Linked DNA regions of Caenorhabditis elegans. The protein of the gene in region 2 purifies or fractionates together with the protein of the main gene of each other region. This does not show direct contact. Each region holds a gene or a part of one and is shown on either strand. Other genes may lie near its edges.

What was found. Proteins that work in one complex are often made in the same cells at the same time.
Region 1: the proteins of vap-2 (region 2) and aatf-1 fractionate together in Caenorhabditis elegans (co-fractionation; one large-scale study listed by BioGRID). This does not show direct contact.

Annotation. Positions count from the first base shown.
Region 1 is NC_003279.8:1,596,850-1,607,839, reverse strand, and holds aatf-1 (Protein BFR2), read right to left. Parts: upstream 6,003-10,990; 5' UTR 6,001-6,002; coding exon 5,922-6,000; intron 5,876-5,921; coding exon 5,522-5,875; intron 3,360-5,521; coding exon 2,797-3,359; intron 1,464-2,796; coding exon 1,068-1,463; 3' UTR 994-1,067; downstream 1-993.
Region 2 is NC_003284.9:10,788,489-10,799,478, forward strand, and holds vap-2 (SCP domain-containing protein), read right to left. Parts: upstream 4,048-10,990; coding exon 4,023-4,047; intron 3,608-4,022; coding exon 3,477-3,607; intron 3,435-3,476; coding exon 3,329-3,434; intron 3,267-3,328; coding exon 3,109-3,266; intron 2,803-3,108; coding exon 2,696-2,802; intron 2,651-2,695; coding exon 2,506-2,650; intron 2,458-2,505; coding exon 2,366-2,457; intron 2,171-2,365; coding exon 1,955-2,170; intron 1,910-1,954; coding exon 1,681-1,909; intron 1,608-1,680; coding exon 1,497-1,607; intron 1,451-1,496; coding exon 1,365-1,450; intron 1,312-1,364; coding exon 1,194-1,311; downstream 1-1,193. Other genes in the region: ttr-14 (Transthyretin-like family protein), read left to right, coding at 1-13, 55-210, 265-536, 995-1,063; T05A10.6 (DUF19 domain-containing protein), read right to left, coding at 4,508-4,538, 5,067-5,134, 5,179-5,370, 5,413-5,489, 5,659-5,720, 6,153-6,199; plc-1 (Phosphoinositide phospholipase C), read right to left, coding at 7,959-8,167, 8,496-8,589, 8,692-8,819, 8,880-9,060, 9,715-9,801, 9,920-10,156, 10,207-10,303, 10,557-10,888 and 1 more.

The DNA of each region.
Region 1 (10,990 bases), on a different chromosome or scaffold from region 2:
TCTCTAGTTTTTCCTCTATTTTTATCCATTTTTCACCCCAAAAAATCCCAGTTTCTACACAAATTTTGTACCAAATCTCCCCAAAAAACTAAATGTGATATTATTTTTTTTTAGAAAAATATGAAGAAAAATTTCAAAAAATATTGAAATTTCTTTTTGCTAAAAACAAAAAAATTTCGATTTTATTTTTAAAATTTTTTCAAATATCAAAAATTTCCGTAATTTTTCGATGTTTCAGTATTTAAAAAAATCGGAAAATTTAAATTTTCCAATTTTCAAAAAGTTTTTAATTTTTTTTCGATAAAAAAAATCGAAAATTTCAGATATTTACAAAAAAAAATTTAATTAAAATTTAGATTTTTTCAAAATTTAAAAAAAAAACAACTGAAAACTAAAAATTATAGATTTTTCGGAACTTATCCTAAATTTTCGTTTTCAAAAAAAATTTAACTTTTAAATTAATTATATTTTTAAAAAATCGAAAATTTTCGATATTTCCAAAAGATTGAAAATTTGAAATTTTTTCAAATATCAAACATTTCCGTAATTTTTCGTGTTTTCAAAAAAATTTTAAAAACTATTGAAATTTCTTTTTTTTTTTCTAAAGCGAAAAAGTAAAAATTGTCGAGAAATTTTATTTTCCGATTTTCAAAAAATTATAATTTTTTGTAGATTTCAAAAAAAAAATTTCGGAAATTTTCAATTTTTTTAATCGAAAAAAATTGAGCACTTTTTGAAAATCGGAAAATTGAAATTTTCCAATTTTCAAAAAGTTGTCAAATTTCTTTTTTGTTAAAAAATTGAAAATTTCCGATTTTTCATCGTTTTTTTTTTGAAAATATCAAAAAATCAAGAATTTTAATTTTTCGATTTTCAAAAAATTAAAATTTTTCAATTTTTCAAAAAAAAAACTAAAAATTCGATATTTTCAATATTAAAAAAACCAAAATTTTCGAAATTTTGCTCCAAATCTGTGATATTCTATTAAACAAATCAAAAAAATCTTATAACAAGTAACAAAAAAAAACCAAAAATTTAAAAATTAAAAAAAAAATGCTCCAAAAAAATCAGGAAAACAACGACTTAAAGAGCTCATTCCGGCTCTCATGGCTCCAAGTGACGACCGACGGCTTCGATGGATAGAAATTGATGAGCCGGGCGATTGGCTCGTACTTCAAGCGGCGATCTTTTGACGAAAGTTGCGAGACATCTCGTTTTTTCTTGTTACTGAACATTGTCTGTAACTCCATATAGCTTCTCGTCATGTCTGCTCCGTCTTGAGAGTTGTTGCTCATCTGGTTTCGTGCTTCGAGCATTTGTTTGAGCAGAATTTGATAGAAATCCGAATCGTCGAACGTCTCGGGGTCCAGGGATTCCGGAGAGTCGGATTTGCCGCCGATTCGCGGTTTTCCGCTTCGATTTGTGCGCACTTTTTTGAGCAGCTTCTCCTCGTCGGCGAGAACCTGCAAAATTTCAATTTTTTTAAGATGAAAAAATGGGTCTCACCGCGATTTTAGGTTTAAATTCGTAAATTATTGGTCTCGCCGCGATTTTCGCTACTTTAAAGGCGCATGTAATGGGTCTCGCAATGATTTTCAGAGATTTCCACGGAAAAATTTATAAAATTTCCAATTTTTCACAACTAAAACACGTTTTTTTCAGAAAGGCAAAGCGGCAAATCGGCAAATTGGCGGAATTGAAAATTTTCGGCAAATCGGCAATTTGCCGGAATTGAAAATTTTCGGCACATCGGCAAATTGGCGGAATTAAAAATTTCCGGCAAATCGGCAAAATGCCGGAATTGAAAATTTCCGGCAAATCGGCAAATTGGCGGAATTAAAAATTTCCGGCAAATCGGCAAAATGCCGGAATTGAAAATTTCCGGCAAATCAGCAAATTGCCGGAGCGATTTTTGCGGGAAATTTTGGAATTTCAATTTAAAAAATTTTAAGCTTACGATTTTTAGTGAAAAATTAAGAATTTTGCGGCAAAAAACGGGGTTTTTAATGGAAATTGCCTGGAAATTCGGATTTTTGAGGAAAAAATGAGCAAAAAAAACATTTTTGTGCGATTTTTTTCGTGAAATTTGCGAAAAAATCGATTTTTCAGCCAAAAAACTAGATATTATGGTAAAAAACCGATTTTAAAGCAGAAATCCAACGCTGGGTGGTGCTACTTTAAAGGTGCATGGAATGGGTCTCGCCGCGATTTCCGTTATTTTAAAGGCGCACGATATGGAAATGTTTGAAAATTTTTTAATTTCTGGAAAAAAGTAGGGTTTTTGTTGTGAAAAACCGGAAATTTTATGGTTGTTTTTTCGTAGAAAATTGGCAAAAAATACACGAATTTTTCAAATAAATTTTCAGAATTTTCAGAATTGTGCGATTTTTGCGGGAAATTTTGGAATTTCAATTTAAAAAATTTTTAATTTACGATTTTCAATGAAAAATTAAGAAAAAACCGGGGTTTACAATAGAATTTGCTTGGAAATTCGAATTTTTGAGGAAAAACCAGCAAAAGGTTTTTTGTGCGATTTTTCCGTGAAATTTGCGAGAAAAAAAATCGATTTTTTCAGCCAAAAATCAGCCAAAATTGAAAAATTAGCCAAAAAATTAGATTTTTTGGGGGAAAATCTGCCAAAAAAAATATTCGAAATTCGATTTTCGGAATCCAGCCGTTTTTTTTTGTTGTCCCAAATGCAAAAATTTCGATTTTTCAGCCAAAAAACTAGATATTATGGTTAAAAAAACCGATTTTTAAGCAGAAATCCAACGCTTTTCCGCCACAATTTTCTACCTTATTAATCTGTCCAAGAATGCTGCCCTTTTCAAAAACCGAAAAATCCGTATTATTCATAGATTTCGGCGTGTTGAGAATCTTAGTTCGATTGTACCATTTCGTGAGTGTTGTTGCTCGGAATTTCTCCATTTTTTCATCGATTTTTTGCAGATTTTTTGCGAGGCTTTTCACACTGGTAGATCCTCCACCAATTTTCCGTGATTTTCCCGGAATTTCGAGCTCTTCCGCCGGCTCTTCTTCATCGTCTTCAAAATCACTGAGAATCTCCTCATCACTTGGAATTTCCTCTACATCATCATCATCTTCTTCATCTTCTCCGGCGGCTTTTCCCTTCCCTTCACCAATCAATTCCATCGCGTTTTTCATTAAATTCCGTAATTTTCCCATATTTTCCATGGCCGATTCCATCGATTTTTGTGTGTGCTCTTCGCTGGTTTTGAGCAGATTTTTTCGAGCTTCTCCACGTGGCAGCTGATTGGCTGTGTTGAGCAACGCGTGGAGCCGGATATTCGAATAGAGTAGATCATCCCATACGAGACGCTGATTTCGGACACTGGCGGCTGAAAAAATGGAATTTTTTTTGGGAATTTTTAGGGAAAAGCTGCAGTTTTCCGAAAAAAAAAGCAGTTTTTAAGTATAAAATATTAAGATTTTTAAAATTTTTTAGCATGGGTTTTCTTTTTTTTTTTTTTTTGATTTTTAATAGAAAATTTGAAGATTTATGGAATTTTTCCGTTGAAATTAATTTTTTTTTCGGCGATTTATTTTAGCATGTTTGATTTGTAATGGAAAATTTGAAGATAATTGAGAATTTCCGATAATTTTTTTTTATTTTAAAATTTTCTCAATTTCCGTAAGAAAATTTCAAGTTTTCTGGGATTTTTTTTTCAATTTTTCCACATTTCTAAGATTCTTGAAGGTTTTTTTTTTCAATTTTTTGTGCATTAAAAAAATAAAAATAAAAAATTTTGTAACTTTTTAAATGATTTAATGTGATTTTTTTTTAAAGAATTGCCAATTTTCCGATTTTTTAACGGAATTTTTGCTCCAAACTTTTAGATTTTTTCGTTTTTTTTCCAAATAAAATATAAAAATTTCATAAAATATGGTTTTTTTAAAATAAAAACTCAAAAATTTGGAGATTTTCTGAGTAAATCTGGAATTTTACGACTTTTTGTGTGGAAATTTGAGTTTTTTGTGATTTTTTAGAGCAAAACTTGAAGCTTTTCGTGATTTTGCGGGTGATATCTGAGATTTAAAGACGTTTTTGTGAAGATAATTGCAGATTTTTCTGAAAAAATCCGATATTTTGACTGAAAAAAGTCATTTTTCCTCGGAAAATCGGTCAATTTTCGCAATTTTAATTTTAAAAACTATACTTTTTCCCAATTTTCAATCAAAATATCGGATTTTTTCAGAAAAATCTGAAATTATCTTCACTAAAACGTCTTAAAATCTCAAATATTACCCGAAAAATTACAAAAAACTCAAATTTTCACACGAAAAGTCCTAAAATTGTACAAACAATTTTTTTTGAAAAATCCCGAAAAATTTCTCAAAAAACTGGAAATTTTCTTCAAGAAATCGCTAAAAAGTCACATTTTTTCTGAAACATTGCGAAAATCTTGAAATTAATAAAAAATAATCGGAAATTCCCAAAAATGTTCAAATTTTCCATTAAAAACCACCAAAAAAAAATCTAATTTTCCCGAAAATCACCAGATGTTCATTTAAAAACATTGCAATTTTAGAAGAATCGCCAAAAAAATAATTTTAACGGAAAAATTCCACAAATCGTCCAATTTTCCATAAAATAACCACACAAAAAAAAATCTAAAGTCCCAAAATTTCAGATTTAAGTCGAAAAATCTGAAAAATTCAGCATTTTCAAATGCGAAACATAGGAAAACTTCAAAAATCTTAATATTTTATATTTAAAACCGACTTTTTCGGAAAAAAAAACCGCTTTTTAATATAAAATATAAAATATCAAGATTTTTGAAATTTTCCTGGGTTTCGCATTTGAAAATGCTGAATTTTTCAGATTTTTCGACTGAAATCTGAAATTTTGGGACTTTAGATTTTTTTTTTGTGTGGTTATTTTATGGAAAATTGGACGATTTGTGGAATTTTTCCGTAAAAAATTATTTTTTTGGCGATTTTTTTTAAATTGCAATGTTTTTAAATGAACATCTGGTGATTTTCGGGAAAATTAGATTTTTTTTGGTTGGTTTTTAATGGAAAATTTGAAGATTTTTGGGAATTTTCAATTATTTTTTTTATTAATTTCAAGATTTTCGCAATGCTTCAGAGAAAAATATGACTTTTTCAGCGATTTCTTGAAGAAAATTTAAAGTTTTTTGGGATTTTTCAAAAATTAGGAGATTAGTTTGATTTTTCTGTGGAAAATTGGCAATTTTCCCGATTTTTTTTAACGGAATTTGCTCCTTTCTAGGTTTTTTTGAATTAAAACTCAAAGTTTTGGCGATTTTTTGAGTAAATCTGGAATTTCACGACTTTTTGTGTGGAAATTTGAGTTTTTTGTGATTTTGCGGGTGAAATCTGAGATTTTAAGCCTATTTTTTCTGAAAAAAAAAATCAATTTTCCTCGGAAAATCGGTCAATTTTCGCAATTTTAATGTTAAAAATACAGAAAAAACCGGGAAATTCGCCAAAAAATGCTTTTTTCGCAAATTTTTCCCATTTCAGAGGCTTTATTAACCTTTATCGGCTTTATCCTCCTCATCTTTCAGCGAAAGAGTAGTCATTCCCATATTTGTATCAATTTCTTCAGGATTTTCATCTTCCTCGTCTTCTAAATCCTCATTTTCCTCCTCATCTTCAATTTCTGGCTCAGATTCATCGAAATTATCGATTTTTTCCTCCTCGTCCTCGTCTTCCTCGCTCTCCGACTTGTCAAAGTTCCCTTGTAAGCCGGAAATTTCAGAAATATCACCGAAAAGCTCTTTTCTTGAAACAGCACTTCCCGCGTACTTTCCCTCCTCGAAATTGAAATTTTGAGCGGCTTTTTGGCGGTTTCCGGTGGATTTTAGGGATTTTAGCGCGGACTGCGAGTCTGAAACATTTTTTTTGTTAATTTTTCGCCTGAAAAACTAGATAACCTTCAAAATTATCATCCTCCAAGTCTGGCAGCTCTGTTGCGGGCGTTGTTAGCTTCGAAATGTCATCTAACAAACCCATTTCTGAAAAAAACTTGATTTTATGGATTTTCCCGACTTTTAGGGCACAATAAAGCTGTGTTAGACGGTTTTAATGTCAAAAAGTGCATTTTTAGCATTAAAACACGGAAAAAATCTCGGAAAATGAGTGGAAATTGAGTTTTTTTCGAATAAAATAAAATAAAATAAAATAAATTAAATAATTTTCAAGCGGGATAACGGAGTGTCGTAGTGCGTGTTGTTTAGTGCAAAATAAAATAAAATTGGATTTTCTGTGCGAAAAAAAAAACAAGAAAATTAGATTTTCCAGCTTGGAATTTGTGAAATGATTGTACAATTTAAGACAATTTAAGACAAAAGTTCAGATGTTTCAGCATATTTTCATAAAATTTCAGATAATTGGAGACATTTTCAGATTATCATATCAGTCCGCTTTGAGCCACCCTTTGTTCCGGAAATGCCATTTCCTCAAGTTTCTAGGAGAAGGATCGTACATTACCACAGAGGATATGAAATTTATATTGAAGAATTTTAATTTGAAATATGGATTCCTGACTCGCTCTCTACGCAGAACCAAGATTGATATAAAACTGGTAAGTTGAAAAGATAATTGTTAAGAACTAGAATACTAAAATTTAAGTTGGTCAATATTCCACGTTTGGATTTCGAAAAAAGCCCAGGATTAACACTGGACGATTTGAAAATGATGAATTGCGAGAAGATGAGATTTTATGATCTCAATACAATCAAGGCAAGAGAAATCAATAAGTACATTCGTTATTGGTTAGACGGGAACCTACCAAACCTGAGAAGACTTCAATTGAACTATTGGTGGCATCATTGGGCGGGCGACTTATTGTATGGCTTACCATATTCCAAATGGAATCCGAAACGTCGAGCAAGAATATTCTGGTGAGTTTTATTACACCCTTTTCCAAATATTAACTTTTTGTTAGATCCTGTTAGAATCCTGAGATTATTAGCGATGTGAGCTACCTATATAAGTGGCAATGAGTCGAAATGAATTTAGCTTTTATTAAATTTATTTCAGCGATGATCTTGAATTCGTGGATTGCTCATATGGACGTGATATCGAAAGAAGTGATGGTCTATTAGCAACTATTCTCATTGAAAACTTTGCCATGTATTTTCTCGTATGGCATGATAGATTTCCGACGGATCCTCGAACATTGTTCCACTTCTCAAATTCCGTTTCAGTTCCAATTACAAATAATTAAAATTATTAATTTTCTATGAAATTACTTTTGGTGTATTATTGCTGTGCTGGTTAACTTTACTTTTTCAGTTACTAAAATAAAATTCAATTCAAATTTATTTGAGCTAATAAAATCCTGGTAAAAACTTTCTGAGGAATAGGAATCAAAAATTTTTCCCGTTGAAAATGTATAGACTCTTGAAATATGTAAAAAAATCTTTGTCCTCGTTCATTATTTTATAGCAAATGGCAGGATAAATGGAATATGAAAAAAAAACGATCAACAGAAAACTTGTAAAGCTAAAAATGAGGAACACGTTACCAGCAAAAACTATTTTCCTATTTTCTTTCACAGTCGAGATGTAGCTGATCAAACTGCTAGTACATTGTGATCAACTTGTGAGACTATTCTGGGTATTTTAACATGTGGTGTCAGGATGCCCCATTAGTGTTTGATCTTCAAAAAATGCGGGAATTTTTAATACAGAAAACTGTGACGTCATCACGCTTTCACCATGTAAATTCAGTCAGGGAATTCTGCGCCTAAAAAACAATAACATATAACTTTTTAAAAAAAATAAAGTTTCTGAAATTTTGAAACAAGGAAACATTGATCAAACATAAGTTCAAATTTTCTCAGAAATAACGTTTTGCCGGGAAATTGAAAATTTCTTTCTTTTGAAAATTATGTTTGGCGGCCCGAGTTTATTTTGTATTTTCTAGTTTTGTAATACATTAGTCGCGATTCGGATTTCTGGCTTCTCTCATAAATTGAAATGGAAGAGTTTTTGCAGAACTAGGCCATTTTGGCTCAGTAGATTTACGGCGCGTTGCGTGTCGCGTCGCGGCTCGATTTAAGTTGTAAAACTGAATGTAGTTGTCCGTGCGGAGTACACGGCTTTCCCACGCGTTGTCCGGCGGGCGATTGTCGATGGAGCGCGAAAATGTAACGAGAAAGGCCAGAGCCCCATGATTACCGTATATCTTCTATTAATATGGCCTCCCTATTAGACTTGCACTCCCTATTAGTATTGTCCCTCGGAGATCTTCTGAAAATTAGTATTGCACTCCCTAATAGTCTTGCGTTTACTCTTTTTTATTGCAGGCCCGTCTCGTTAATTTCAGGATTTCAACAAAAAAAATTGCCTATTTTGCTACAGTTTTTCACAATATTTCTACGAGATTGAAGTTTTTGAACTTATATGTTACAATTAGAATCAAATTTTCTGAATTTTTACATAAAGATTCGAGCTTTTTCAGAAAAAAAAAACTAGTAAGCTCAAAGTCAGAAAATGTTCTAAAAATTAGTATTGCACTCCCTAATAGTCTTGCACTCCCTATTAGTATTGCAAGCGGGAAGACCATCGAAAAATAGTATTGCAGCCATATTAATAGAAGAAATACGGTATGTTTTTAGAAAGTTTCTGAAATTCTGACAACAAGGTCATCAAAATTGATCAAACAAAAGTTCAAATTTTCCCAGAAATAAAAGTTTTTTTTTTGGCCACGGGGTTCTGGCCTTCCTCGTTGAATTTTCCGCGCTCCATTGACAATCGCCTGCTGGGCAACGCGTGGGAAAGTCGTGTACTCCACACGGACAAATACGTTTAGTTTTACAACTAAACTCGAGCCGCGACGCGACACGCGACACACGCCGTAAATCTACCCCAGATATGGCCGAGCCAAAATGGCCTAGTTCGGCGAAAACTCTTCTATTTCAATTTATGAGTGAAGCCAGAAATCGGTGTTTGGCGGCCCGAGTTTTTATTGTATTTTCTAGTTTTGTAATGCATTAGTCGCGAGAAATACAACTATTAGTTATCCAGAAAAAAATTTCGAAAACAATTCTTTGCTCTTCTTGTTTCATTTTACCCATCTCTTCTTCCTACCCACCCCTGAAGAGCATTTGCCCGTGCAAGAATAACTCATTCAGAGCTCACGGAGCGCGAAGCACACATGCACAAAAAGGAGGTGCTCTTTTTCTCTGTGCTCAGCAGCGAGCAAAAAAAAAAGTAGAAGACGTGAGAGCCCCCCGCTCATCGATTTGGCGTCCCTTGAGGCGCGAGCTTTTTCTCTCTCATGTGAGCCCCCCGCTGCGAGGCTCCGCCCATTTTTTCCATTCTTTTCGTGTTTTTGCTCTATGTGCATTTGCTCTTTTTTTGTGGCGACGGCGGCGGCTCCGCCATTCCTTTTTCTCCTTTTTTTGAGCAAATTCCGACAACTTATTTTTCTTTTTTTTTAAATTTTTCTCAAAAAAAATTATTTCAAGTACTTTCTAACCCAACCACGAGGTTCTGGCTCGACCCCGCGCTCCATTGGACACTGAAATGGCGGGAAAAATTTTTTTGAAATCGCAAGAGGAATTTTCACGCAGCGCGTTGAAAAAGTGTATGCATTTGCGCGTGACGGTGTTTGCACAAAATACACCGAGGGGTCGAGCCAGAAACCCGTGCCCAACTTCTTCTATGCACCTCAAAATTGGAAGAGGAGTACGGTAGAATTTCCAACTGAACACTTTTTCTGTGAAAATTTGAATTTTCCGCCATGCATCTTTGAGGGGCACCACGTGGTTCCAGGCTGTCCCATTACAGTTTGATCTACAGAAAATGCGGGGTTTTTTTGCCCAAAAAATATATGACGTCAGCACGTTCTTAACCATGCGAAATCAGTTGAGAACTCTGCGTCTTTTCTCCCGCATTTTTTGTAGATCTACGTAGATCAAACCAAAATGGGACACTCTGACTCCACGTGAGGGGCACGGTTAATTTTTTTGAAATAAAATGAACATTTTCTCGTAAGTGGGCGGAGCCTAACCCTTATATATTTATGAATTCCATGGATTCAAAAACCCAGAAATTTTGCCGCAAAAATGCATCAATCAGCTGGGAGGACGTCAAAAAAATAGAAAAAAGTGTTTTTTTTTGTTTTTGATGGGTGGGAATGTAGTTGGCGCTAGGCGGCCGCCGCCAAAAAAGCAAAAAATCTTTCCCTTCGCCTCTCCCAGAGTATTCAATTTTTGCCCGAAATGCTTCAGCGAGGGGAGCCAAAAATGAAGAGAAAAATGCAAGTGTGCTCTACCGTAGTCCATTGAATTGGAACAATTTGAAGTACTCTTGCGTTTTTTGAGCTTTTGAGGAACAAAAGAGCACATGATAGGTTACGGTAGATTTTTCTTTTTTTTTCTGATTTTGGGGGTTATGAAAAACGCTTTTGAAATTTGAAGAATTTTTAGGCCAAACTTTTAAAAAGAACATTTGAATTTCCCGCTGAAATTTTTTCTTTGAAAATTTGAAATTTCCGCCAAAAAATGATTTCTGAAAAAATAGAGTTTCTGTCAAATACGTTTTTCACGGATTTCTGGCTTCCCCCATAAATTGAAATGGAAGAGTTTTTGCCGAACTAGGCCATTTTGGCTCGGCCATATTTGGGGTAGATTTACGGCGCGTGTCGCGTGTCGCGTCGCGGCTCGATTTCAGTTGTAAAACTAAATGTATTTGTCCGTGTGGAGTACACGAGTTTCCCACGCGTTGTCCGGCAGGCGATTGTCAATGGAGCGCGAAAAATTCAATGAGGAAGGCAGCCCCCGTGATTTTTTTTTGAGAAAATTTTCCGCCAATGTTTTATCTAAGAAAATTTGAATTTCCCACCAATAATTCTGCTAAAAACTTGAATTTCTGGCTTTAAAAAATTCTGCAAAAAATTTAATTTCCCGCTGAATTTTTTCTGGAAAAGGTTGACTTTCCCGCCAAAAATTCTGCTAAAAATTTGAATTTCTGGCTAAAACATATTCTGCAAA
Region 2 (10,990 bases):
TTTAGACTTGAAGGTAAAATAAAGAGACTTTTTGTCAGTTATTCTCAATTTCAGAAGAACAAAAAAGGTTGGATGAAATCAGAAGGCTAGAGGAAGAAAGTCTTAGATTGGAAGAAATCCGTCGCATTGAAGAAGAAAAGAAACGCATAGAAGAAATCAGACGTCAAGAAGAAGAGCAACAAAGAATTGAGTTAGAACGTAGAGAAGAAGGTAGGCATCTAAAAATAGACTCAAAATGTTTGATTCAAGTGACTCACAATTCAGAACGTCGATTGGAGTCTGAACGAAGAGCCGAGGAAGAACGAAAGCGGGAAGAAGAAGCAAAACTTCAAGAGCAAAGAAGAAGAGAGCAAGAAGACGAACACAAAAGAAGAATGGAGGAATATCACAGAAGAGAACAGGAACGTCAAGAAGCCCTGAAACGACGAGAGGAGGAAATTAAAAGAAGAGAGGAGGGCGAGAAAACTCGAACTGTCTCATCTTCTGAAAAGGTTGAAAAGAAGGATCCATGTGTGCACTATCCAGTTTTAACACAGGTAATGCATATATTTTATCTGTGACTACATTCTGTATATACTTTTTTAAAGATTAAAAATTAAACAATGGTATGTGATCGCTTAGGTGTGGGCTTTGTCATTTTTCATAGCACTACGTCCGGGTTTTTTCATAACTTCCAAAATGTTACTTAAGCTTGGCAAATAAACGACAAGTTCTGAAAATTTTGAAAATTTTTGCGTGTTGTCTTTTATAAACATTTTAAGGAAACCGTTATATATTTAAAAAGTACTAGTAGCTTAAAAATACAAAAAAAATTGAAAACATTTGAAACAAATAGCGTAAGTGCATCTTTAAACTTTTTGCACTTTTAAAGAAATTTTTATTTTCTAATAGTTCTATTTAAAATTATGCATGATATTTTTCCCAATATTTTAATTTTATTCTTATTGTACATACTTGCAATTTCCTTTCATTTTCAATAGTTCTTTAATTTCAGGGTCAATCGTTCAGCCGATCTATTGAGCTTCGACATGAATACGTGGAGGACCCATGTCTCAAAAAATAAACCATCGTCATTTGTTTAGCATTTACCAATTTCTCTGAACTAACTTGTATTGTTATCAATTATCGCTATCAGATCTTTATTAAGCTTTCAACCCACTAATTTCTTCTATACACTTATACAAATAATAAAATTATTTTGAGATCACACATAAAGAAGTTGTCTTTTCACAATCTGTTCCAATCGGGCAATCATCATCGACTTCGCAAGGATCCCCGATTTCATAGATTTTATTGTTCTTTCTGTTGCCTCTGAAATTTGAAACAATCTTCCCCAAACGTCTCAAACTATCAATCAAACTTACGCTGGCCCATAGTGACAAACCACGTACGACATCTTCGGACAGTTTGCGATTCCACAACCAAGACGGTAAGTACGATCCCAGGCCATCTGAACCTCTACTACTACCTTATCAAATTGACCATTGGTTTGATACCTGAGTGTAATGTCCTATCGCTTTCCCTTTCAAATCCCACAATTCGGGTGTCAGAACGTTATCAATTGGAGTACCGAACTCCTCCAATTCCTGCCACCACTTCTCGACGGCCTTAAACAGTTTTTTGATGGATGATGACAACATTGATAATATTATATTTATGGAAGATCAAAGGAACAGTTACCGTATGTATAAGGCTTCTAGGATCAGGGTTTGAGAAAGAACTCATGTAGAGATTCTGACCCTGATTCGGTCTTTCGTAATGTGCCGAGTGTGCAAAAACGCAATTATTTGCCCAGTTTTGTGCAAACCGTTCCAACATGCAGTCATACTCCATTTTGATCATTTGACTAGCCTTTGGCTGGGAAGTGTTTGTTTCTCCATTCCATTCAAAACCTTTTGCAAGACGAGATCTAAACAGTTGACGTGAAAAGTTAAACTATTTTTTTGTATAATACCTATAAAAATTGTGTTGCTCCAAAGTGAAATTGCGGGTGACATCTGACACAAGGGAGTTATCACATTGGAAACTTCCTCCATCATCCTTTACCATAGAAGGTGCTTGACATAATCCTTCAGGTACTAAACATTTTGATCCTGGATATGTGAAACAGTCTTTATCCTCACAGCAGGGTTTTCCATTTTCGTAAATCATTTCTTTTTCGCATTGGGCTCGAAAATATATGAGTTGAGAATATTTAAAATCAGAGTAAAAACTAGCGGAATTGGAAATGACAAATTAATCTAAAAACTATGTATATGTTCTATTTTCACTGCTAGAATCAATAAAACTGGTGTTTCAAAATTAATGTATTATTGCGCAAGTTATTTTTAAACCGGAAGCTAGAAAATATCACTTATAAACTCACTTTTCGTTATAAAGACAAGTGAAAAGTGCAGATTCACCGTCGCCGCACATAATATACGAGCATCCAACTCGATATGTTTTTCCTTTTGCCATCTGAAATTTTCACAACTTCATTAATAGGTCTATATCAAATACACTCACGTTTGCCCATCCAAAATAATTTCGTCTGGCATAGAATCTATTTTTCTGATCCTCATTGCCTTTTTCTTCACCTTGCTGCCACCAATACTTCATCGCGTTTCGCATATGTACAGTAGAGTCGTGCCCATCAAAATAAAAATAGAAACTGAAAACAAACAAATAATGTTTTGACTATGTGAAAACTAGTCACCGCTTAAAAAGCTGAGCGTTGGAGCCAAGTACCGATTGCGGCATAAAGTGCTGAGGGCAGGAGGTTGACCAATTGGCTGCAAGTGATGCCAGTTCACAATCCCAATCCTAAAATTGTATGTTTGATGACAAGTTAAACTTGAAAAGATATTTCTAGTATTAAGGTGGTTGTTTGTTTTTAGAAAAGTATCTGATAGGTTAGTAGAATATCTCAAATGTCAGATTGCTAATATGTTCAATGGCTGTGAACAATAAGTTGATCAACTTTTTTGAAAATGTTGGTATTGGAATCAATAATTAGTTTGAAACTTCAAAAAGACTCTATTGTTTGAAGCATTTAATCACACTTAAGTAATTAACAATATAATATCCCGTTCTAATATTCTCAATGTTATCTCAAAAGTACAAACTAACCAGTTTATACATATTTCTCGCACCGTTCATGAGACCTCTCTTGTTTCTTTGCTTTCCGAAAGCCAATGATCTTCGTAATTCATTGTGGGTTGTCAAGATGATCTCCTGCTGTAGCTGAGTGATCGTTGATTTGTTACACACATGTTCGGTTAGCAGTTCTAAAACGAACACATACACGGTCAATGAGATAAAAGGAACAAGGCATTGAAAATCAACAAACCATCATCAAGACCACCAAGTGCTTCTACAACCTTGTCGTCTACATCGTTCCACACGTTCTGCTCAAGAAGCTCATCATTTCCTCCACTGCCTTCTATATTCACAGTCTAAAAAATTTCAATTAAAAAATTGAGCCAATGAAAACATACCTGCGCATATCGAAAAATAAGAAAAAGAGTGACAGCGGAAAGGACCACGTTCATAATAGTCATCAGCAAGCAAAGAGCATGACGGGTACCTTGTATTTGAATCCACAAATTCGATGCGGGAGGCGCCGCGGCTGAAATTTATTTATGAAGACCGAAGTCGAGACTAAGCTCCGCCCCTCAAAGTTACCAGTTTATTACGTACTCTCCAGAAAAAAGAGAGAGGAAAAAGAAAGTGTCTACGAATTATTGATGCGACTTTCAAACTGTAAAAGTTGAAATAGAAGGGCAAACACAAAACACTGAAAGCGAAAGTTTCGAAAAGTTTTGAACACAGTGATATAATGAATTGAAAATTTGGAACAAAATAAGGAGAAAGTTCAAAAGTCAAACGAATCAAGCTTGCCTACCACTGATACAACAACTATACTATATATCAAATTGTACACCGTTACTGTAATAATTTATTGGTTTTGATAGGTTTGTCCTTTGTTCTGAAAGGGCGTCGCTCCTCTCTGGAATTTTATGCTAATTCGTTCAAAACAGTACCTGAAGTAGAAGTTGCAGAGGTCATGAGTGTGAGAAACCGCAAAAGTGAAACCTAAAAATTGGTGTCGGCATATAATAATACACACGGTAGTTTCCTCCCTTTATGAAGCGCTTTATATGTTTGTTATGTTTCTTTTTTTCCCCATTCACGTCTTCTGCCACAATAAACCCCTTCTCACTATTTTATTATCTGTCAATGCCATGCAAATTTGGGGTTGCGACGTTGACAGGAATCGTCTGGTTGCTGTCAAGAAAAGACTGTGGGGATGCGGTTGTCAAGAGGAAGTTGAAATCGAAATGTTTTGTTTTCGCTTTTACTCGTGATTTCGATCAGATCATCAATTTCGGTTTCCAGGTGACAGAGTGTTCTGGAACCCAAATAAGTTTGATTTGATAAGTGTTCTTTATTTGAATTGATTCCAATATGAGTTTAATTTAATCAAGGTCATGCGAAAAGTTAAATCAAGAAATTTGTGGTGCAATATTTATGGAAGTGGAGGTACAGTGGACGAGTGGCTGAAAATTGAAATTTTGTATATCAGAATTTTTTAAAGGTTTTTGTAATAACATGTTTAATACATTTCTAATAAGGTCAAAAATATTACACTGCTAAACGACACCGATTTTATTCAAAAGATTATGAGACTATGTATTTCTCCAAAAAATTTAGCCATTCGTCGTCATAAAAGCCTTTATAAACGAAAACTAAAATTTATTCAGTGTATATTTTTTCTACTCGAGAACCCTAAAAAATTTTATATAAGTAAGTTTTCACAAAAAAAAATGTTTTTACGGGTTTTGAGCGCACCGTAAGATTTTTGGAATTCCTTTGGATATTGCCTTTTGGAAACAGTCTAACGTTTTTAACATAACCCATATATTTTTTGAAACTTGTAACAATCTATCACAGTCTAGCACTTTCTCTAGTTATACGGTTTTTCGTTTACTAGTCTTTTAGTTTTATTAGTTTTTGTAATTCTGAGACCCGTGTTCAAAGTGTTGAGTTTCACATTTAAATCTACATTTTTGACTTTATATGTTTACCTGAAGAGACAAAGAATGTCGAGTCTACTTTGACACTGCGCATAAGAGCATCCAATCGATTCAGTAATCTATAAATAACAGTTTGGACGGGTTATAAACATTTTGTTAGTACTTGTGACTTGCTATTCGAATTGCTGGATGCAAGTTGAAGAGCTGTTTGAAATTGTTGAATAGTTGCTTCTGGTGTTGTACTACCAGTCACTGGGAAACTTAGTTTCAATGTTCCATTAGTGACACCACCGTTATCCAACAAACACTCTTTGATCACTGCCTGAGCCTTACTCTCCAAAGTGCAATCCCATGTCTATAAATGAAAATAAAACTGAAGATTTATGTTCCAAAAAACCTTTCCACTAGCAACTGTCTTGTCAAATACGTTACGAGTAGCCACGGACATTCCATTTGGGCACGTAGTACTAGCAGCTGTAACGAAATCAGATGGAGTAAAGATCAAATTTAGTTACAAAAGGAGAAGAAAGCTTAATGATTTCCTTATCAACCAGAACACAGACATAATTTACCATAGTTTTACGGAGAAAACGGAAAATTGGGAAAAGGAAAGGAATAAAAAGTTTATGCGACATAAATTTACCATCACGTTTCACTCGTTGTCTTTCGAGAAAATAGTTATCGTCAGCAATGTGGATTTGGCTTCTGAAATTAAAACGTTCTAATAAACTTCAATTCTTACTTATAATATAATATATTCAAAACTGTGTAATAAAAAAATATGTTTGTTCTAAAAAAATGTGCAATAAAATTTTAACACCAAAGAAAACAGTTATAACAAAACAGTCTGGTTTTCCTTTATGAATGTGCTATCTAGTAAACAATATGTTGGTTAAAATTTTTTTTATTTCTTCAATTTAAGCACATGAAGTCAAATATTTTTGTTTTAAAATTAAACTGGCAAATTGAATTTTGACTTTGGAATGTTCGATGGACTAGCTTTCAGTAATACTTGTCAAATAACTTTTTGAACACCAAAAACAGTCTGCTATAAAAACGCATTGCATAACTTAGAACTACGTTAAAACTCAGTTTACATAGCGGTAATTTACATTATTCTCAAATCATTCAACTTACTGTACACTGACAAAAACAACCAGCAACAATACAAAAATTTGCATCATAGTTGAGCTCCAGTTCAATCCAGTTCAATATAAAATAAGTGAATCAGATTTCATTCTATCCATCCACAGAGACAATAACCCATTTGTGTGCACACCTGTTTTTTTAACAAACGCAGCAAAAAAAACTTTCTGCATGGCAAAATGAAATGGTTGAAAAATCGTGACTTATTTATTAGCTTTCAATGTGAATGTACACAAAAATGTAAATGAAAAAAAAAGTATTGCAATTTGCAATAAATCACATAAAAAATGAAGTAAAACACAAATAGAACATTTTGGCAGATACTAATAAACACTATAAGATTTCTATTAAAAATTGAAAAGAAAGATCATGTAACACAAATATAAATGAAAAAACAGTTGTTAGATAGTAGAATTCAGGTCACTTTGGTCCAGCATCCATAGTCAACGACTTGCCAAACTTGGAGAATTTACGTGGAAGACCGATTGAGCGAACGCTGGATAAACTTATTTTGCGCGTTGTGGTGGAGGAAGAAGTTGTGCTTTCCACACGTCTACCCTAAAACGCATACTATACATTGCTGGTGCCCCAATTGAAAAGATAGATGTATGCATAATTATTATCGATAGGTTGCAATTGTAAATGTAATAAATAATAAATATTAGTAAACACGATAGGAGAATCGCTGAAAAATCAAATAATCGAGATTTAAGTTCACACAACTAATTAATTTTATAAAGAAGTATTTTTGCATTTCATATTGATCATTGAAATTGAGTTGAGCAGAAATATGTCAAAAATTTTGAAATTAAGAAAGATTATACATATTAACAGCAAAAAATGTCTTCAAATTTACTTTTCATGTTATTTTAAAATATTAAAATTTGTATTGTAAAATTACAGTTAGAATTACAAATTTTAATCTACTTTAACGATAACAAAATAATATGTTTATACATTGTTCATAAGTTTACAAAACTAAAAATTTCCAGCTTTTTTTAAATTTTGTTAAATATATACACATATTACGTTTATTTATTCACTATTTAATTTGAGCTACTAGGTTTTTGTGTTATTTTTCACACTTTATACTAAAAAAAAATTTAAATTTCATATTCAGTGGTACCAACGAATACATCACCATTTGCATACTGTGTGAACAAGGATGGAAAAAATCCAATTTAAACAAAGAAAGAAAAACAGACTATTCATACAAACAAAGAAACCGTAAATTTAAGAAGTTGCCAACCACAGCTACAAAACCAAATATATAGTGAAAACATAATTAATCCCAGTAACTTCAAATATCCTCTCCTGGCAGTCCTGAGTAGTATATCATATAATAAGTTTCGTCCTTTTTTGGAATACCCTCACGAATGATTTTTGCCATTTCGTGAAACTCCTGTAGAACATTTTTCATTTGGATGTAATTTTGCCAATTTGTTACGAGTTTTTTTGTAGAAAAATCGAGGATTCGGATAATGTAGAGTTAAATAAATACCCATTTCATGTTTATTGAGACATGTTAGTGGCATGAAAATAATATTAGCATTGAGAACTTGTTCAGTATCATAGTTTCTTGTATGAAAAATAGGGATTTACATAGTATATCAATAATACACACGATTATGCAAACAAACATGCAGAATTCTTGATCGAACATAATAATTCAATAAGACGGATAGAAATGGAAAAGTGTGTTTAAAGTGAATTTTGAGGAAAGTGATAGGAATAGAAGTATTGATAGTGATAATTGAGTGAAACCGAGTTGATCGGAGGGAAAGTATATGTGCATCATCACTCGTGTCTGGGATCCATGCTTGCTTTTGCAGCTTCCAGTTTTGATATAAATGATCTCACTTTTTCGAGGGTTGCGTGCACTGTGTCCTTTCGGTTTTCAAGTACAAATCTGCCCATTGACTTCCACCTCGATTGTGCTTTCCAAACATTTTCGTTTTGTCCTAACACTCGGCTTGTGGTGCGGTTGTTTGGATACTTTGGAGTCACTGAAATGTTTTTATATTATTTAAAGTTTTGTGAATGATAACATGCTAAAAGAAGATGCATCATAGACCAAGAAGTTGCACATTTTACCGTATAAAAGTGAGTCCGGAAATTTTTTCCATATTTTTGTGTCCGAGCAACACATAAATCTTAAAAAGCACTTTGCTGACCTATTGATATACATAGGTATTCAAAACTACAGCCTAGTAAATAGAAACACACAAATTTGTGACACAAAACACATAAAATGGTGAATATACAGTGCAAAACATCTTAATGGCCTACGATCATTGCTTCTTTTCCGCGCCAACGAAAGGGCTTGTAGCATACTTTGGCCTTGATTGAGTTTTGGATCATCGCAGGTTTCTTCAACAAGAACAAACTCGGAATCGTCTACATTTGAACGGCGAGCTTTAACAAACACCTGAAAACCAAAATAAAATTGTTGTTTTTGTGTAGTTTGATTATAAAAGCAACGTTAAAAGCTTAATGCTAACTTGTCAAATCAATAAACTTAATTTCCCACCTGACGAATAATGTCGGCGGCAGTGCTGTGGATTCCAGCACGTAGGATTGCATAAGGCTGATCTTCACTAACATTGTGAACACATACCAGAAATGTGTCGCCCATTGATCTTGCACGAGGGTTCAACCCTACAAATATCACACATTTAGTTTTATCATGACCCGATCTGTTAGTATCCTTACACTTGCCTTCTGTCACTTCAAGGTGCTCTCCAAAAGCGTCAGTGTCCAATGATCGTCCATGAAGTTGATTGCTTGATGCACTCTTTACGTGTCCATCTTTGGTCAACGGACTTGGTGAGACTGACGTGGAGCTTCCACTTGTTCCGGATTTTATAATTGAAGTGATCCAAGCTCTAGATGATGGGTCCTATAATTTAAGACAATGAATTATCAATACAAAATATTTTATCCCCCTATCAATCACTTCAAACGGTTAGAATTTGATATTTCAGTCCAAACACTTTGATTCAAAATATTAGAAAACAGAAGCTGCGTTTGGTTAAATTGCTTCAAGCGGGTGCAGAAACTTCCTAAATACAAAACATGCGTTGTCAATAATCAATAAGGTCAGCATTCAAAGCATCATAGGTTTACTCAAGTTTCAAAACACCCAAAAGCCACAAAAAAATTTTGAACAGCCATTCCCGTTGCTGCGTCGAGCTTTGTTCATCAGTCGTGTCAGTAGAGATCTCACCTATGCCCGTACTCCGATGAAAGTCCAGCAATATTGAGCGTTGAGTCATGTCGGCTAGTTAGAGAAAAAGAAAGAAAAAAGAAATTGGGAGGTAGGGCATGTTGTAGACAGTTACAATATTAGCATGTAATGACGAAGCGATTTGTAATAAGTATAGTTAATGGAATTTGTAAAGGTTTGTATATATTGGGTTGAGGGAGGTGATGTCAGTGTGGTTTCTGTTCAGACATTCGCTGATAGTGTGGACGCATCGAATGTGGCTGCCCAGTTGAGTTTACGTGATGATTTGCTAGTTTTGCGCTGACGCCGTTTTTCCTCATAACTCACACTGCCTTTTTTTCGTAACACAAAACGACGCATTGAACCGTTCCAGCAGGCCACGGCGTCCATGATAGGCTCGTTCAGAGGAAGTACCTAAAGTAAATTATCATTAAGGATGTTTAAATCTGACTCCCGGTTTACTAAATATGTATAAGATTTGAACTTTTTATATAGTTGAATGCATTAGTAACAAAACTAAAAAATATCTTACTCTCTGCTCAATTGGATCTTCCCCAGAAGGTGCCGGCAGTGATTCTTCGATGAGTACATACTCTTCAACCTGATCCGCATTCTTTCCAGCGTTAAGCAGCGCCTGTTGCATCACCGTCTTCACTGTACTTCCTGACTCGCTGTGCACTGTAATTGCTGTTTCATCAGCAAACGCGCCTGTAATTCGAAGAACAAAGATCTGTTTCTTCAAAATTGGCGTTGGAGATAAATTGGGTGTCTGTAACGGAGTGTTTTATTTATTGTTTTAATTTTCTGGTGTTCAAGTACTAAGTCTGTGCGGTATGCCAGCGTATGTTCTAGATTACAATAGGTGTTTGAATCATCGTCGTGGAGGTAGATGTGTTCTTCTTGCTCGAATCTTGTTCTGAAAATGAAATTGTTGTTAGAAATCAAGTTTTGGAATCAGGCAAGCGAACTATCTAAATCTGCAAAAATGTAAAACCGTTCCGTGAATGTGCAATACTATCACATTTCTAAGATATAAATGATAGTGAATATATTGTTACGTTCTGTTAAGCTACTCATTTGAGGTACCAAATTCATGGTTGGACCTGAAATCCGCTTTCTGTGTGTTAGTAATATAAGTTTTCATGTTTATATGTGCTTTTGATCGCTACCTTAAAAATATCATAGCGTTGTCGATCGGAAGATTAGTTGGAGTTCTGAGTGGGAGATGTCGGAAACCCGGACGAATGCATTTGACAGGAACAACTCGGTGAGCAACGACTCTTCCATTTTGCCCACTATCACATACTGCTATGCGAAGGAATGCTAAGTCAACACAAGCTATTCGAAGTTGAGTGGTGTGGTTCCAGATTGGATTCACAGAATTTCTCTGGACCACTTTTGATTTCTCACGAACACAGTCGTTGTGAATACCGATGACTTCAATTTCGACATATAAACTGGCGTAATGGGTGTTTGGATACACGTGCTGTCCGGATATAATCTGAAATCAATGAGAGTATATGTTTTACATCGGATAGTTGAATCTTACAGTTAAGTTTAGTAACAAAGCAGAATGGCCGGCAATGTCTTTGGAGAGAGGCAA